Linked DNA regions of Sus scrofa. The main gene of each other region encodes a partner of the protein of the gene in region 3 in a complex. Links are inferred from orthologs where the notes say so. Each region holds a gene or a part of one and is shown on either strand. Other genes may lie near its edges. The genes, in order: TTC25, EFCAB1 and CCDC151.

The links.
Region 1: CCDC151 (region 3) and TTC25 share a complex: the UniProt entries of both Homo sapiens proteins name them as parts of the outer dynein arm-docking complex. The link is inferred for Sus scrofa from reciprocal best matches to the Homo sapiens genes ODAD3 and ODAD4.
Region 2: CCDC151 (region 3) and EFCAB1 share a complex: the UniProt entries of both Homo sapiens proteins name them as parts of the outer dynein arm-docking complex. The link is inferred for Sus scrofa from reciprocal best matches to the Homo sapiens genes ODAD3 and CLXN.

Annotation. Positions count from the first base shown.
Region 1 is NC_010454.4:20,774,412-20,778,058, reverse strand, and holds part of TTC25 (tetratricopeptide repeat protein 25), read left to right. Parts: intron 1-125; coding exon 126-212; intron 213-1,676; coding exon 1,677-1,873; intron 1,874-3,647. UniProt on the Homo sapiens protein: Component of the outer dynein arm-docking complex (ODA-DC) that mediates outer dynein arms (ODA) binding onto the doublet microtubule. Plays an essential role for the assembly of ODA-DC and for the docking of ODA in ciliary axoneme.
Region 2 is NC_010446.5:79,374,169-79,378,306, reverse strand, and holds the start of EFCAB1 (EF-hand calcium-binding domain-containing protein 1), read right to left. Parts: upstream 2,814-4,138; 5' UTR 2,639-2,813; coding exon 2,368-2,638; intron 1,608-2,367; exon of another isoform or gene 1-1,607. UniProt on the Homo sapiens protein: Component of the outer dynein arm-docking complex (ODA-DC) that mediates outer dynein arms (ODA) binding onto the doublet microtubule. Seems to regulate the assembly of both ODAs and their axonemal docking complex onto ciliary microtubules.
Region 3 is NC_010444.4:70,090,746-70,094,096, forward strand, and holds part of CCDC151 (coiled-coil domain-containing protein 151), read right to left. Parts: intron 2,408-3,351; coding exon 2,237-2,407; intron 2,148-2,236; coding exon 2,046-2,147; intron 1,948-2,045; coding exon 1,822-1,947; intron 1,612-1,821; coding exon 1,489-1,611; intron 966-1,488; coding exon 813-965; intron 1-812. UniProt on the Homo sapiens protein: Component of the outer dynein arm-docking complex (ODA-DC) that mediates outer dynein arms (ODA) binding onto the doublet microtubule. Involved in mediating assembly of both ODAs and their axonemal docking complex onto ciliary microtubules.

The DNA.
Region 1 (3,647 bases), on a different chromosome or scaffold from region 3:
ACGAGAAAGCCTGAGTATGGCAGCCTTGCCAGCCTAGGCACGGTCCCTCCAGCTGGCCCCTGCCTTTGCCTTCTTCCCAGTTTCCACAGTGCCTGGAATGGGCTTGTCTTGTTTCTTTCCCACAGCGATCTTCCTGAAGCCAAGTCCAGAGCCCTGGATAACATTGGCAGGGTTTTTGCCAGAGTTGGGAAATTCCAGCAAGCCATTGACACGTGAGTGCCCAGGGACTGCCCCCTCCCCACTCTTGGGACGGGACAGCCCACCCTCACAGTGGACTCCCTGCCTGGGACAGAAGGCCAGGCAAAGAGGCATCAGAAGACCCGAATTTGGCCCCTGGCTTTGCTAGGTGACCATGGGCTGGCTGCTTTGTAAACTCCAGGGCTCATCAATTAAATTCATTAATAGAAGGTAATCAGCATTTTCTCCCAATTTCCCAATGACAAGAGTCATGTGGGGCACTCATTAGACGTACACGTTTCCTGGACCTCTTCCCTGGAAATTCTTATTCTGCAAGTCTGGGCTGGAGCTCAAGGAATCGGTTTTTAACAAGGACACCAAGTAGTCCTTACCTCTGGGCAAGTTCAGGAATGGGTGGCCTGTTGACTTCTGGAAGCTCTGCTGAGCTTTTCCCGTGACTATGCTGTCACGTGGGGTCACTGGGAATGGAGGCTGAGCTCCCCGGAAAGCTTAATCGCCCGACTTTGATGTTCATCCCTGGGGCTTGGCCACCTGCTCCAGTGGGAGACTCAGTCCCAGAAGGCTCGGGGGCGGGCCTGAGCCGGAGAACTGCCTGTGCCTAGAGAGCCAGCTCCTTGAGCTCACTGGCTTCGCACAGGGTGAAACTGTCCTCCAGACCCTCGCTGCTTGACTAAGATAGACTTGCTGGGAGTTCTTCTGTGGTGCGGCGGGATAAGGCTCTGGCATTGTCACTGCAGTGGCTTGGACCTCTGCTGAGGTGCAGGTTCAGTCCCTGGCCCAGGAATTTCCACATGCCACAGACACTCACAAAAATAAATAAATAAATAAATAAAGCAAGAGAACTTAAAAAAAAAAGATAGACTTGCTCACCAGAGCCTTCTGTTGCAGGTCACTTGTTTTCCTGAATGGTCCCTGGTGCCTTTGTGCCAAAAGGCAGTGGACTGTCCAAGTTCGCCTGCCATTCCTAGCTCTTTATAGTAAATATGCGCTTAATGGTAAAATATTAATTTGGGAGTGCCTGCTGTGGCACAGAGGGATCTGCAGCATCTCTGGAGTGCTAGGACACGGGTTCAATCCCCGGCCTGGCACAGTGGGTTAAGAATCGGGTGTTCAGAATTCCTGTTGTGGCACAGCAGAAATGAATCCAGCTAATATCCAATCCCTGGCCTTGCTCAGTGGTTTAAGGATCCAGGGTTGCCATGAGCTGTGGTATAGACTGCAGACACAGCTCAGATCCCACATTGCCGTGGCTGTGGTGTAGGCTGGCAGCTGTAGCTCTGATTGGACCCCTAGCCTGGGAACTTCCATATGCCACAGGTGCGGCCCTAAAAAGACCAAGATAAATGAATAAAATAAATACACAACGAAACGTAGTAGTCGGAGAATAGGCTTTTTTCTGACAGCATGGGAAGCTTGGCCTCCTCTGGCCAAGGGCAGAGCCTGAGTGGGAGAAGCTGAGCGCTTCTTCGTGTCTCCAGGTGGGAGGAAAAGATCCCTCTGGCCAGAACCACCCTGGAGAAGACGTGGCTGTTCCATGAGATCGGCCGCTGCTACTTGGAGCTGGACCAGGCCTGGCAGGCCCAGAATTACGGCGAGAAGTCCCAGCAGTGCGCCGAGGAAGAAGGGGACATCGAGTGGCAGCTGAATGCCAGTGTTCTGGTGGCACAGGCGCAAGGTATGGCCCCAGTGAGAACCATGCTACCTTTCCCAGCGCTCAGGCCCTGCTGTCACACCAGGGTCAGGAATGCTATGGGCTGAACTTATCATCCCAGTGTATCTGTGCCCAGATGAATGCGGATTCTGAGGGTGGGGATAAACCCCTGCGTTTTGACCGGTGTGTGGCACTCCCTACTTTAAGTTAAGCTCCCAGAGGGCTTGGGGGCCCAAGAGCTGCCCTGCCCCTTGAGGAACTCAGCTGCAGAGCAGCAGAGCACTGTCTTGTCATCAAAACAGCTCCACCCTCTTGCCTCGGTCGGTACTCTTTACAGGTGCATTCTTGCATTGATTTATTTGTTTCGGTCTTTTTAGGGGCTGCACCTGCGGCATATGGATGTTCCCAGGCCAGGGGTCTAATCGGAGCTACAGGTGCCAGCCTATGCCACAGCCACAGCAACACGGGATCCGAACCATGTCTGCAACCTACAGCAGAGTTCATGGCAATGCTAGATCCTTAACCCATAGGTCAAGGCCAGGGATCAAACCTGTGTTCTCATGGATACTAGATAGGTTCGTTACTGCTGAGCCCCAGTGGGAACTCTGCCTTCTTGCATTTAATCACTGTGCAAGCAGTGATGGAGGTATTGTCCTCATCTTATAGATAGGAAAACTGAGGCTCCAGGGGCTCGGCAGATTGCTCCAGGTCCCATGTGGGAACTTTTTAGGGTGATAGAAATATTCTAAAACTGGGTTGTGGTGATCTTTGCACAAGTCTATATATTTACAACAAATTATTAAACTGTATACTTACATATGGGTGAATTTTGTAGTATGTGAATTACATCTCAATAAAGTTGTTAAGGAGTTCCCATCATGGCGCAGTGGTTAACGAATCCTACCAGGAACCATGAGGTTGCGGGTTCGGTCCCTGGCCTTGCTCAGTGGATTAAGGATCCGGTGTTGCCGTGAGCTGTGGTGTAGGTCGCAGACGCGGCTCGGATCCCATCTTTTCTGTGGCTCTGGCGTTGGCCGGTGGCTACAGTTCTGATTAGACCCCTAGCCTGGGAACCTCCATATGCCGTGGGTGCGGCCCTAAAAAGACAAAAAAAGAAAATAAAAATAAAAGAATAAAAAAACTGGTAACTGTTTCCTGCCTTCATGTCTGGGAAGCAACTTTTAAGCAGCAGCTCCTGATGGGAGTTCCTGCTGCGGTGGAACAGGATCGTCGGCATCTCCGGAGCACTGGGACAAAGGTTTGATCCCTGGTCTGGCACAGTTGATTAAGGATCCTGCGCTGGGAGTTCCCATCATGGTTCATCGGTAACGAACTGGACTAGTATCCAGGATCCTGCTTTGCTGCACCTGCAATATAGGTCGAAGCCAGGGCTCAGATCTGATCCCTGGCCAGGGAACTCCGTAGGGCACGGGACGGCCAAAAAAGAGCAACAAAAAAATTCCCTGGTGGCTCATGGCCCAGCAGATTAAGGATCTGATGTCACTGCAGCAGCTCAGAATGCTGCTATGGCGAGGGTTCAGTCCCTGGCCCAGCAACTTATGCATGCCACAATTGCGGCCTAAAAAGAAGCTGACGGAGACGGGAACTCTGAAGGGAGGGGGCCAGTGAGGGGCCAGATCCACAGGGCCTCACGGGCCTCGTTACACACCATAGATTCTTCTTCTTTTTTTTTTTGTCTTTTTGCCATTTCTTGGGCCACTCTCGCGGCATATGCCACAGCAACATGGGATCCGAGCCGCGTCTGCAACCTACACCACAGCTCATGGCAACGCCAGAT
Region 2 (4,138 bases), on a different chromosome or scaffold from region 3:
GCTTTCCTGGAAAATATCCCGGTAAAACGGATCCTTTAGTTATTTGAAAGACAGTTTCTGTGACTGCAAACAAAGGGTAGTCTTCACATCTTTAAGAGGACCTTCTGTTCTGAACACAGATGAGACACCCACCCTCTTTGAATTAGAACCGCAAAAACATGGGTTAGCTTCGTCTTGAGCACAAAACCTAGAATATTCTGCAACGTGTCACTTGTTGAGCCTCGGAAATGAGATACAAATTGTTATTTGTCTTTTATAAAATAATGCAAGTTATTTTATAGTACATGTACTGTCATTGTTAAACTGAAAGTAGAAAAATTCTGCCAACCGTTAACACCCAACTGAGGTTTTTGACTTTCTTTCCATGTTCCATTTGTTTGTTGAATGGAGGGTTGGGATGCTGTTTGAAATCAAGGTGAGGATGCTTGGTGAAGGCAGGACCTGTATGATCCTAAAGCAAATTCCCTGAGAACAGTTAACTGATATGAAATGATAGTGATGGGATTGTAGGGAACAAATGGGGGAGGGATCAACCTCATACACTCACCCCAAAACCTGGGTGACTCCTGTCAGATGACAGAGCCGAGGCAAACCTTTAGTGAACCGCTGTAGGGCTCCTTCTAAACACAAGCAACTTGAAGATTAGTGGTCACTGGTCAATAAGAGAAGCTGTGAGCCCCTCCTCTCCTACCAGGTGCGCCAAAGGGACACCACAGGTGGGAGTCCCTCATGGGCAGGTGCCTCGGCAGACAAACACTGCGAGGTCCTTGTGCACCAGGGCCAGCAGCTCTGGCTCTGTTCTTCCTTCACAAGCTTCAGGCCTACCCCCCCTCCCCCAGCCCCATTCCCTTAAAGTGGAAAAGCCGAGGAAGGGCTGGTAGAAGTCAAATCTACCAGCAAAAGTCCCGAGCCTACTGAGAAGCCTTGGTGGGCTCCCCCACCAACCATGTCTTTCCTCCATATTGTCCTTTTAGCCAAATCTTCACAAAGGTGTGGTGGCATCTGTCACTTCTCTGAGCATGGGCTGAGCTCTGGCCTCACTGCAGGTCTGGCAAACCTTTCTCAGGGAGGCAGGTATTTATTAGGGGTGGGTTTTGTCAACATACCGGCAAACTTCAGAGCGTTCACTGCATTCTTGGGACGTTTTCAGGTTTGTATATTCAGACTTTAGAATGAGCCGTGGGCCTGCAGGAGTGTGCTGAGCGTACCTCAAGGCCTGTTGTAATTTCTGTTTGTAGGTTTTGTGGCCTGTGCAGAGTAGACGCAGGTTTTTGTCCCAAGGGCTTTTCTGAGTGAGGCAACTAAGCCTGAACAGTTAGCTCAGATCAAATCAGTCAGCAATTGAATAATCAAAAACTGCTTAATCTGGGCCCTGCTGGAAACACAGAACTTCTCAAAGTTCACGCAGCCCCGAGGGGGTTACTTTTGTGAGTACAAAGTGCATGAAAGTGACTGTGAGAGCTGTCAATGCTAAATTCTGTGTGCAGAGCAGTTTTCTCTTGGGCTCCCAATTCACTGGACTTTCACCATGATAAACAGCTGGGATTCTCAAGGTGAAGAAACTGTTTCACTTAGTGTGGACATTTTATGAGGGAGGCCCTTGGAAGCTGTGTAGGAAATGACATCATAGAGTTGGTTTCCAAGTAACTTACAGATCTATTATGAAAGGACTTTAATAAGAGGAAAAGATAAAGCTTAGTTATCTGCATAAATTACTTTGAGTTGGACCAGTGCTATCCTGTAGGGATAGTGGTGAGCATTCTGGGGTGACTTTAGCCAGCCTGGTCTCTCACCACTTTCTCTCCCCTGATGCTCCTCAGCCCCTCCAGCAGCACTGGGCTGCCCCCCTGCCTGCCCCCCAGGGCCTCTGTCTGCCCTTCACCCCATCCCCACAGGCAGGTCTGTGGAGAGTTTCTAGCTCCATTAGTCAGTCCCTCCTTTTCTCACTCTCACCTGGGGACCAGCTGACCCTCCTGGCTTCACAGAGCTGACCACTGTAGCCAAAGGACACTGCCAGGATCTTCCCACTGCCTGTTCGGTCATGGCCCCGAGCCTGGCTCTGGCTGCTGTGCTGTCCATAGAACTGCCCAAGGGACAAGGCACCCACCCCTTTCTGAGGGGGCCAGAGGGAGAGACAACCGCCTGGCAGTGATCCTGATCCTCTGTGTGGTCACAGGTTTATCCTCAGGCCAGCCTGGTTCTTCCTGGACATCAAAGGCTGCCTGGACCAGGCCCTTCCACCCACACTCCCCATTCCATCGTCTTGGAGTTGCCTCCTCCCTCCACACATTCCTGCTTCCCCACCCCCCCTCCTTTCCTGAGCCCCAGTCTCTCCAACCCCATCAGCTGTGCAACAGCCCCTTTTACCTGTGAACATTTGCTGAACTTGCCTTCTGTGTACAGAGCTTCTCTCCATCTTTCTTCTTGGAAGCCTGCATCCTCCTGAAGATGCTCTCCAGAGGAGGCTGCCCATCTCCTCATTCCTGCTCAGGCACAGCCAGAAGGAAGTCACTGTCATCATGACCCCATGTCTCCTTTTCAGGACCCCATCGGCTCTGCCCTTTCCTCTCACCCACCTTCTCAGGGTGTAGGTAATGCACACGCTCACTGCCACACAGTCCATGCTCTGCTCCTGCATCCGCCGGGAAGCTGCTCATGGGATTTCAGTGTGATGTAGCTAAAACACTGGTCAGTCATGTCGTCCTTCTGCTTAATGTTGAAATGCCTTCTCAGTGCCTGCGAGAAAAACTCCAAGCCAGGAAGCGTGGTTTCCATGGTTCTCAAAGATTTGCCCCTGCCTGGCTTGCATTTCATTTCATATGAGTTTTAGAATAAGCTTGTCAGTTTGTCCTCAAAAAAGGTCGTGCTGAGGTGTTGATTGGGGTTGCATCATATCTATGTAGCAATTTGGGGAGAACCGATGTCTTCATGGTATTGATTTTTTCTGATCCATGAACATGGTATATCTCTCCATTTCTTTAGGTCTTTGTTAGTTTTTCTCAGCATTGCTTTGAGGTTTTAAGTGTACATAGCTGAGCATCAATTTTTACATAAGTTTTTTTTTTTTTTTTTTTTTTTTTTTTTTTTTTTTTTTTTTTTTTTTTGCCATACTCTCAGTGTGTGTAAGTTCCTGGGCCAGGGATAGGACCAGAGCCACAGGAGTTACAACACTGGATCCTTAATCTGCTGATCCATGAGGGAACTTACTTATAAGTTTGGGTTTTTTTTGTTTTGTTTTGTTTTGTTTTTTAGGGCTGCGAGTGTGGCTTATGGAAGGCCCTAGGCTAGGGGTTGAATCAGAGCTATACCTGTGCCACAGTCACAGCAGTGTGGGACCCAAGCCATGTCTGCAACCTGTACCACAGCTCACGGCAACGCCAGATCCCCGACCCACTGAGCGAGGTCAGGGATTGAACCTTCATCTTCATGGATACTAGTTGGATTTGTTTCTGATGCGCCACAACGGGAACTCCCACTTATAAGTATTTTTGATGCTAATATAAAAGCAATATTTAATATGTGATAGTACATAAAATGTAATTGATATTTGCATGTTGCTTTTGTATGCTGGGACCATACTAAACTCATATACTACTTCTATTAGATTTTTTTATAATTATTTAAGATTTTCTATAGCAATGATAATGTTCTTTACAAATAAAGACATTTTTACTTATTTTCCAATCTTCCTTTAATGGTGAAATATTGGGCACTTTCTCTCCAACACGGGGAATGAAGAAAGGGTTCCCGCTTTTGCATTACATGTTCAGCATGATGTTGAAGAGAAGTGTAAGAGCGGAAACCCTTGCTTTGTTTCCTGCACTGGAGGGAATGCACCCAGTAGTTCACCATCATGTGTGGTGTCAGCTGTGCATTTCTCACAGATGCCCTGTGTCAGCTGAGGGAGTTGTGTCTGTCCCACATTTCCTGTTGTGTTTGTCACGCGTGGTTGTTGCGTTTTTACTATTCACCCAGCCCTCCCCCTACTGGTCGTGGCACAGGCATCTCTCTGGTAGATGAGGGCTGCACGTCACAGAAAACACCAGCAAACCTGGATGCCTGTCTTCAAGGAGAGTCAGCAACTCAGAGCTCACCCTGGCCCTTAGTGTTTGTAGTCCCCACAGTGCTCTGAGCAGCG
Region 3 (3,351 bases):
CCAACTTCTGGAAAGGTGCTCAACTACAGTGCTCCAGATGACCCCATAGGTCCAAGTTCTGGAACCCCTTGTGAGTCAGCCCATGGGAGGAGTAATAGATTCGAGGGTGCCCAAAGTGGAGAAACCCAACAGAGGTCCAGGGGAATCACAGTGTTTTCCAGCCAGGGACCTATGGTCTTAGAAAATTTCAAGGAATCCATGGCCTTTCTCAGTGGGTTAAGGATCCAGTGTAGCTGTGAGCTGTGGTGTAGACATGTCTCAGATCCTGTGTTGCTATGGCTGTGGTATAGATTGGCAGCTATAGCTCCGATTCAACTCCTGGCCTGGGAATTTCCATATGCTGCGAGTGTAGCCCTAAAAAGCAAAAGCAAAAGCAAAAACAAAAAAGAAAAAAGAAAGAAAAAAGAGAAAATTTTGAGGAAGAAAATTCCAAGTAGGGGACCCCAGACCAGGGACCTAGCTGATCTGGGACTGAGGCTGGCACTGTGCAGTCGTCTGTGCCCCAGACCCTGTTATAGGTGCTGGGGACCCAGGAGAAGAGAGACAACACTCCCAGTTCTCCTAGAGCTGACATGCCACAGAGGTCAGCTGGTGTAAGCAGGAACAGGAGGAGAGGATGATGGCCAGTGTAGATAACTCCACACGCGTGGCTTTTGCTGTGAGAAGCAGCAGAGAAACCGGGCAGTAGCTGGAGCAGGAAGGGGTGTTTTTTTAAGAAGAGAGCAGGTTTGTGTGCTGAGAAATTGCCCCTGCAGAAAGGGTTGGCTTTCCAGGCTCAGGTCGGCTTGGGAGAGGCCGCAGGCAGCACTCACGTGTGTTTCTGCCACGCCGGTGGCGTCCTTGACCTTGCCGAAGAGCACTTCCATCTGGTACATGCTCCAGCGCCGCCGCAGCTCCTCCTCCTTGGAGCGCTGGCTGTCCTGGAGCGTGTCGTCGGAGTGCAGCAGCACGTCCTCGCGCTGGGTCTGCTCGGGAGTTGAGGTCAGGGCCCAGGTCAGCTTACGGACAAAGGCACCTGACAGAAGCCGCGGCGGGGGTAGGCGGGAAGGGGGGTATTCAGTCGGGGGTGAGGAAGGGGGTGGGACCCAGGCTTGGGGCCAAGTAAGGGCATCAAAACAGGGGTCAGATGCCTGACAGTCTAGGTCAGGGCTAGGAGACTCCGAGGCAGGGCAGAGGGGCGGGGTCAAGGGAGCAGGGGGTGGGGCCTGTAAATAAGGGGCAGGCTAGAGGCAGGATCAAATTTCGGACTCTGGCCAATTGCGGTAGGGATGGATGAGGACCAACCCGAAAGTACTTGGAGGACTGAAGGGCGGGGTCATGGATGTGGGAGGAGCCCTGACTTCTGGTGGAGATGGGGGCGGAGTCAGAAGAAGGGTCAGAACTGGGGAAGGGTCTAGGGCCAACGTAGGGGCGCGGCCGGGACCCCGCAGGGCCGGGTCAAAGTAAGGGCTGGCTAGGGTTGCAGCCCTGCATCCTTGGTGCGCCCACCTTTCGCTCCATGCGTTCATTCTGGAGTTTTCTCTCTTCAGCGCGCTTCTTGCACTCGGTCAGGTATCGGTCCCGCTTCTTGCGCTCTCGTAATACTGTCTCTTCTAGATCCTGCAGCTGGTTCTGGAGGGCAGGCAGGGAAACAGCAGGACCAGCTGGCACCTACCATGGCTCTGGGCGGGAGCTGCAGGCCTAACCCGAGACAGTTGGGTTAGGCTATGGGATTCTGGGAGAGAGATGGGATGAGTTCGGGGACAGCTGGAGTTCAGATACTAGGGCCAGATGACCGTGGCAGCGGAGGGGCAGGACCCCCAGGGGCCCACAGGCTGGCACCTTGGCTATGTCCCTGGCATTGAGTGCTTCCTGATTCACCACGTTCAGTTCCTCCAGCTCATGTTTCGTTCTCACCACCTCAGCTTCCATGAAGTCCAGCCGGTTCTCCAAGTGAAGGCTCTCCTCCTGGGATGCAGGGAACAAGGGAGGCCCATGACCACTATCCCTAACCAGGATGGCCCTCCCACTTGCCGCCCCCAACCCCAGTCTTTCCTGGTCCCTACCTGTAGATAGGCCTTGAGCTGCAGGTACACATTGGTGATGTGTTCTGCCTCTTCGGCCTTCATCAGGGCCTTCTCCAGGCGGTTCTCCAGGTTCCGCATGGTCTAGAGGGAAGCAAGGCTGGGCTGGGTCCCCTCCCACCTCAATCCCTCCCCCAGGGAATCAAGCTCTCTGCAGACCTCACAGGTGCTACCTTGGCCACCTCCGTGTTCCTATCTTGTGCCTCTGCCATCTCCAGCTCACGCAGACTGTGCTGCAGCTGGAGCTCCTCCAGCCACTTCTGCCGCAAGCCCAGCTGGTGCCGAAGAGCATTCAGCTGCTTCACCTTCTCACTCAGCTGGTGGTCCAGGTGCTCCAGGGCCTGCTGGAGGGAGGGGAGCAAGAGCAGGGTGAGCCCCCCACCTAGTCCTTCCTCCCTTCCTTCTCCTATATCTAGGTTTTTATCTTCCCTGTCTCTTAGTAGCACCTGACCTGACTGATCCTCCTTCTCTGGCAGATTCTCTCTTTTGGTGGCTTCCAGGACACACACCACCCATTTTTCCACCCACCTCCTTGGCTGCCTCTTATCCACTTCCTTTGCCTTTGAAGAGACAGCCCCAAGCTCGTCTCTCCTCTGTCCACACCCACCTCCTTGGAGATCCTATCCAGTCTCAGGGTTTCAAAACTCACCTATACACTGAAGACAGCCAAATTTAGCCTCCCCAGAGTTCCCATTGTGGCTCGGCGGGTTAAGAACCTGACTAGTATCCATGAGGATGCAGGTTCAATCCCTGGACTTACTCAGTGGGTTAAGGATCCGGTGTTGCAGCAACCTGTGGTGTGGGTCACAGATGTGGCTCAGATCCAGCTTTGCTGTGGCTGTGGTGCAGGCTGGCAGCTAAAGCTCTGATTCAACCCCTAGCCTGGGAACTTCCATATGTCGCAGGTGTGGCCATAAAAAGAAAAGAAACCCCCTCACACAAATTTAGCCTCCCCCCAAACTGCAGGCTGATATATCTGTGTCTACACTGCCTTCCAGATGCTCCACAAGCAGCTCAAAACCATTATGTCCAAAATTGAGTATGTCCTTGATCTTTCCCCAGAGCTGTCCTTCTTGAATCTTTCAGGTGCTCAAGTCCAAAACCTTGATGTCATCTTCATCTCTTTTCCTCTCCCACCTACACCCCATTTGTTAGCAATTCTCTGGTTTTTTTTTTTTTTGTTTTTGTTTTTTTTTTGTCTTTTTGCCATTTCTAGGGCCGCTCCTGTGGCATATGGAAGTTCCCAGGCTAGGGGTCGAATCAGAGCTGTAGTCACCGGCCTACACCA